2 linked regions of the Sus scrofa genome follow. The protein of the gene in region 1 interacts with the protein of each later gene in a pairwise test. Links are inferred from orthologs where the notes say so. Each region holds a gene or a part of one and is shown on either strand. Other genes may lie near its edges. The genes, in order: MYCBPAP and MYCBP.

Evidence for each region.
Region 2: the proteins of MYCBPAP (region 1) and MYCBP interact in binary tests that used the Homo sapiens proteins (3 or more experiments, as listed by UniProt). The link is inferred for Sus scrofa from reciprocal best matches to the Homo sapiens genes MYCBPAP and MYCBP.

Annotation. Positions count from the first base shown.
Region 1 is NC_010454.4:26,790,421-26,794,340, reverse strand, and holds the start of MYCBPAP (MYCBP-associated protein), read right to left. Parts: upstream 2,632-3,920; 5' UTR 2,554-2,631; coding exon 2,511-2,553; intron 1-2,510. UniProt on the Homo sapiens protein: May play a role in spermatogenesis. May be involved in synaptic processes.
Region 2 is NC_010448.4:94,808,592-94,811,499, forward strand, and holds part of MYCBP (C-Myc-binding protein), read right to left. Parts: intron 1,245-2,908; coding exon 1,196-1,244; intron 960-1,195; coding exon 830-959; intron 1-829. UniProt on the Homo sapiens protein: May control the transcriptional activity of MYC. Stimulates the activation of E box-dependent transcription by MYC.

The sequences.
Region 1 (3,920 bases):
GCTCAGCAGATTAAGGATCTGGCATTGTCACTGCTATGGCTCGGGTCTGATCTGTGTCGGGAAGTATAGCCGGGCTACATCAGAGACTTCCCCTGAGAAATTTAGGAGGAAAAAGGCATTTTGCAAGGTTTTTTTCCTTCCTCACCTTAATGCATATTCTTAACTCAGGGGCTATTTAACAAGTCAAATTTCCTCTTATTAAAAATAAATATGCAGTGAAAGGATCTTTCCTTGATTTGTTTACAGCAGAAAGTTCAAATCTGATAAGATCCTCGGAAACTAGGTAAACAGCAGGCAGTAGCTAGGAAAGCCCTTGACTGCCCTTGGGAAAGCAGACCAGCTATTTTTCCCTCTTTCTCTCCTAACTGTTAAAAGTATATCATGAGGAGTTCCCGTCGTGGCTCAGTGGTTAACAAATCCAACCAGGAATCATGAGGTTGCGGGTTCTATCCCTGACCTTGCTCAGTGGGTTAACAATTCAGCGTTGCCGTGAGCTGTGGTGTAGGTTGCAGATGTGGCTCGGATCCTGCGTTGCTGTGGCTCTGGCGTAGGCTGGCGGCTACAGCTCTGATTGGACCCCTAGCCTGGGAACCTCCATATGCTGCGGGAGCGGCCCAAGAAATAGCAAAAAGACAAAAAAAAAAAAAAAAAAAGGAGCATCTTGTTGTAGTCTACATTGGACCTTCATGCTGTGAAGCAGCATTAAAGAAAGCCCTTCCAGGCCTCCCAGGGAACCCTACTAACTCCAGGCCTGCCCCTTCCTCACACTCAGCTCACACCATCATCTGAGGCTGGGTCTCCCCAGGGGCTGCAATGACACACCGACTTTCTGACCTGGCATGTAAAGCACTTCTGTGGTCTGGTCCCTACCTGTGCAGTCCTCTCTGGCTTCCTTCCCCCCTTTTCCACACTCACCACCTCTGCCTTGGCCATTAATGTCAAAGTTCCACTCCCTAGCTTCTTCCTAGACCTAGAGAAGCATATCGCTTTTCTTTTGTTTTTTGTTTTTTGATTAGACCTAGATGTCATCTTCTTCAGAAAAATGTTCCCCCTAATCTACCATTCAAAGCCTAAGTCAGGTGCTCTGAGCCCCCTTGATACCGACAGGTGTCTGTATCACCATCTTTTGACTGGTTTCTCCTACAGGAGTTCACAAAACTCCATTTCCTGAGTTCTGGGGTCCCACAGTTACCACCCATGGCCTTGTTGCCCAGCACAGTGCCCGCACACAGCAGGCCCTCAATAAATGCAAACAAAAGAAGACTGAAGAGGAAGTGGATTGCACATGGGCACAAGTTCATGGGGTCAGCCTGCTGACCAGGCACCCTGGGGTTCTCCCTGTCACAACCAGAGGGTAATTGCAGAGGACAGGAAGCAGGGATCATGTCCATTGATTGTCTCCAGGTTAAACAAGCAGGACAGGGGTTACGCAATCTGGCCGGAAAGGGCACAGGGTGGGAAGAGGTAATCAGAAAACTGGCCAAGTCAGGCATTTCTCCCGGTTTTTCCAGTAGGACTCTAAGGTGGCACTCAGCAAAGAATCCCACTAAGGTCGTTGGTTTCACCACCTCAACATGTTTCCTGCATCTTTTCTGAATTTCTTTTCCCAAGACCCCATGGCCTGGCCTTTCTAGTCTTAAACTCTTTTCTGGATCTTTCCTTTCTTTTCTTTTGTTTTCTTTTTTGGCCGCCCTACTGGCATATGGAGTTCCCAGGCCAGGGATCAGATCTCAGCTCTAATTGTGACCTATGCCACAGCTGCGGCAATGTCAGATCCTCTAACCCACTGTGCCAGGCCAGGGATCCAACCTGCATCCTGGTGCTGCAGAGACACAGCAATCCCACTGTGCCACAGGTGGAACTCCTTTCTTGGCTCTTTCACTCAGGTGAAGGATTCTGCCTTCTGTATCCCACCCTAAGATATTGTTCAAGGTCTCATAGGCCTGCCTTTCCAAGGTCATCTCCCCAAAAGCTGATCCCTGAGTCCCCTCCTTTCTATGTCCCCACTCTCAAGGCCCCAGTGCCCTGCGGCCCCAGCCTGCCCTGCGAGTCCCCTCCTTGTACATCATCCCCAAGGCCCAGTGTACTGTGCCCCACCAGGGGTCACCGCCTTGTCTAAGGCATGGGGTTCGCCTTGTCCTGTACCCCATTCCCGTGTGATCTTTACCTCCAGGCTGCTATCACCCCCATCCTCCGGGCCCTGTGTTGTGACGCCCCAGAACCCCTGCCCCTGTCGGGCTTTCCTGAGCTCCCAAGGCAGCCAGGGCCAACCTTTCAAGCTACCTGAAGACTCCACGAATCTGTTTGTAGGTATTCTGTGGCGGGATTCCTTCTTTAGAGATTTCATGGTGCGGCCCGGGCGGCGAGCGTGGCCCTGTGGACCCGGACCCAGGACCCGGAAAAAGGAGGCGGCGCCGCAGCCCCCGCGACCCTGCGCGAGCGCACCCGCCCGCCAGCGGCCGCCCGAGCGTCCATAGCAACCAGCGCCGCGCGCGGGGGAGCGCACCCACCGAACAACTTGGGCGGAGACTGCTTGGGAACCACCTTTTTCATCAGGCCGCAACCACGCGCCCGCCACGGGCCACTTCTTCGACCCTAACAATGCCCCCAATCCGGACCGTGACGTCACAGGCGGCGCCGGCGAGCGCCGTGACGTCACTAGCCCGGTGGTCGGGGCGGGGGGGAGGGGAGGCGAGGGAGGGGAGGCGGGGTCGGGAGGCGAGACCGGGAAGGAAAGCGGAGGAGGAGGGCCCTTTCCTGCTGCTCCTTCTGCCCGCTATCCCTTCGTCCCGTCTGCACAGCCACCGCGGCATCCATCATTTCACACCGTGCAGAAAACCCCTGATGCCTTCTCGCTGATTTCAGTTGCCCCGTGGTCCCTGCCTGTCCCCTGCAAGCGCTGGGTGTCCTTCCCGGCTCGCTGCAGCCACTTTGGGCTTGCATCACTTCCCAGACCAGCCAAGCTTGGGGAACTTGGGGCCACCTCACACTGTCGGTTGCAGTCCTTGAGCTCCCCGCCCCGCAATTTAAAGTAGCTCTCTGTATATACCAAGTAGCTCAACTTGGTATGTGCCCCCTTATATTTTTTTCCGGAGTCTTAATGCATTCAACAATTACTGTTTGTTTAACTGGTTGGCTGCTGTAAAGCTCTCTGTAAGAATATAAAATTCATGAGAGAAAGGCTGGCTTGTCCTTTGTCCACACCTCAACTCAAAGTGTAACACGTAGTGGCTCAGAAACTGTGTGGAATAATGAAGGGGCTATAGAGCAGGACAGAACTGGGTTCCAATCTCAGCCCTTCCTGTTTCCTAGCTGTGTGTTCTTGGGCTAGTCCCTTAACCTCTCTGAGCCACAGTTTTCCCACTTATAAAATGGAGGATGCAATGGTCACTGTACAGATTAATTGAGAGTATGCACGATGGCCACTGTACAGACTGAGAGAAAGGGCCTATGTAAGGATTAACTGAGTATACATTTAAACTACTCAACACAGTACCCTCCATAAACTGTAGTGACATCTCAGTCAATTCTCAAAATCATGCTGGGGTTGAGGAGCTCCACTCTGTGCCCATTTGACAGATGGAAAAACTGAGCTCCACCAAGGAAAAGTCACCTGTCAGGGAGTTCCCGATGTGGCACTGTGGGTTAAAGATCTGATGTTGCTGCAGCCATGGTGTAGTTTGCAGCTTCAGCTCAGACTCGATCCCTGGCCTGGGAACTTCCATATGCTGTAGGTGCTGCCAAAAAAGAAAAAATAAAATAAAATAAAAATAAGGTCACTAGCTAGAAGCAAAGTTTGAAGGTGGTTCTCCCAAGTCAAAGACCAGGGCTCTTTAGGCCCTGACTCTTGGGATATTTTTTGTCTTGTTTTGTTTTACTTTTTAGGGCTGCACTCACAGCATAAGGAAGTCCCCAGTCTA
Region 2 (2,908 bases), on another chromosome or scaffold:
CAATGAAGAGCAGCTAACATCTTTGACTTAAAGGATGTGAAAAAGTTATCTGGCATTTACACGTTGTGGACAATTTAAAGTAATGCATGCATAATCTTTGCTGAGTTGTGGTTCCCTGCAAAAACTAAGATTTGAGTTATTCCAATTAGCTGTGGGATTCGAGAAGTTAGACTTCACTGCGCTTTAGTTTCCTCACCTATAAAACAGTCTGTGTGCCTGTTTCACTTATCTCACAAACTTGTTGAGAAGATCAGACACATTATGAGAAATGCCTGGAGTCAGGTGAAATGCATTATGTGATTCAGAATGCAGTAAAACCTCAAAGACTTTAAGTTGACTCATTTGAAGTTTATGAAAATTCTCACAGGAGTTTAAACAAAGAAAAAACTTCAGCACTAGGCAAAGAGTGCAAACCAGTTTACAGAGACTTAAGGGCAGACAAGTTTACAGAGTTACCATTACAGGGCCACCACATATGACTGTGCACTACATGCACTGCCCAGTCTAAGGTGACATTCACAAAGCAGGGGCCTTGTACTGTCCTACTCAAACCAGCTGCCTAAGACTCTGAGAAATCTCTGTTTACCTATAAACCAATATTCTCATCTTTTGGTTGAAGGTTCCCAAGAACCTTTTCTTGACCACACTTTGCTCATCCTATTTACACTTTGCCTGTGGTTTTCTCGACAGGGCGTCAACTTGGCCTTGCAACTAACTGAGATTGATATTCACCCTCCTCCCTCCCCTACTGTCCATTTTAGTGAGGTTGCGATCATATGATCACTAAAGGTGAACTTATTTTTAACATGAATTCTTTCAAAAATGTTACCTTTGTTTTCAGTTTTTTATTTTCTTCTACAATAGCTTCATATTTCTCTTTCATTTCTGCCAATTCTAGGCGAAGCAGCTCTATTTCTGGGTTTTCTGGGGTAGCAGCTCCTAAGTGATGCTTTAAAAAACTAATATCAAGTTAAGAATTTACTTGAGCTGAATGAAACTAGTGAAATAGCCCTCTGAAATAACTCTCTGATGAGAGTCACCCCACCCTGCCACCAATATTTACCCAGAGATCAAAATCCAAATACTCAAATTTTTTCAAAAATTGAAAGTATTTTAAAAGTTATTATCTATGTTTAAAAATCAGAGTTCAAAAAAAATGAAGGCCTTTTTCTGACTTGGAAGGTGAAAAGGATACTCCAAAGCACTATTAGGTTTCTCAGGTTCTTCATATAAGGCTACCAATACTGCAAATCAAAAAGCAGAAAAAACAACAATTAAAGTCTTTAAATGTTTGAAATTATATTCCATAACCCAGTAAATATGAAGTGCCTATTATACACCATGCACACTGCCAGGACTGTCCATACCATGGTGAACAAGACAGACAAGGTCCTTGCTCTCAGTGAATTTAAAGTCTTGTGCAAGAGATAAGCAAGGAACTAGACCAAAAAAAAGTTATCAAGCAGCAATATAGGATAATGGGTTATGGGAGCACATTGGAAGAATGCCTACCTCGGCCTAAGGCAGCAGGGAAGCCTTCCCCAAGGAAGGGAAATAAGACCTGAAACCTAGGCAATGAAGGTTTCAGATAAAAAGGGAAGGCCAGGGGCAAAAGCACAACATATTAAGGAACTGAAAATTCAAGTATGGCTAGATGGTGTTGTGAACAGGGGGCGGAGCAGGAAAGGAAGCTGGAAAACTGAGGTGTGGGGGAGACTACAGGATCCTGCAAGTTCAGTCAGCCCTTGAACCTAAGGACAAAATGGCAGGTAATTAACAGTTTTAAGCAGCGGAATGACAGGATCACTCTTGACTCCTGTGTGGAAGACTGACAGGTGGGACAAGGATCTAAAGGCAGGAAAGCAGAGTTCCTGTTGTGGCTCATCAGGTTACGAACCCAACTGATATGATATCCCTGAGGATTCAGGTTCAATCTGTGGCCTCGCTCAGTGGGTTAAGGACCCAGCATTGCTGTGAGCTGTAGTGCAGGCTGGCAGCCTTGGATCTGATTCCACCCCTAGCTGGGAACTTCCTTATGCCCCAGGTTTGGCCCTAAAAAGCAAAAACAGAAACAAAAAATAAATAAATGAAAGCAGGAACGCAATTGGAGTTCCCATTGTGGCACAGTGGAAACAAATCCGACTAGGAACCATGAGGTTGCAGGTTCGACCCGTGGCCTTGCTCAGTGGGTTAAGGATCTGGTGTTGCGATGAGCTGTGATGGAGGTCAAAGACAGGGCTTGGATCTGGCGTGGCTGTGGCGTAGGCTGGCAGCTGTAGCTCTAATTAGACCCCTAGCCTGGGAACCTCCATATGCTGCAGGTGCAGCCCTAAAAAAAAAAGCAAAAAAAAAATTTTTTTTTTTAATTAAAAGTTAGTGATCTGCACTAAAGTGATAGAGGGATGAAAACAAGGTAGGTACAGTAGAGAAAAATTCTGGAAGGCTATGGTTAATTACTGGAAGGAGGAAGCTTTGACTTCAAAAATGTTCTTCAATAATGAAGTTTCACACATAACATGCTAAATAACCACCAACCAAAAACTTTACCAGTAATCAGTGTGCTCAAATCAATATTAAATACTTTAGTGGTTTCATATCCAGTAGTTCACGTCAGCACTACCTTTTTCATCTTAAACAAATTCCTATTACACTATTTAGATGCACTATTTAGATAAAAATCTCTCTAAACCATTGCTCATTTTTTTGTGCATGGACCTCTTTGAAAAACCCGAAAAAGACAAAAACTACACACAAAAAAATATGCATATCTAGACACCAAATTAAGAACTACTATGGTAGACCAATTTACATGCTTCCCTTTTATTTAAGTTTTAATGATTCAGTAAAATAATACAGACAGTATAAAAAATTAAATGGAAAACTACTACTAACAACTTACATTAAGTTC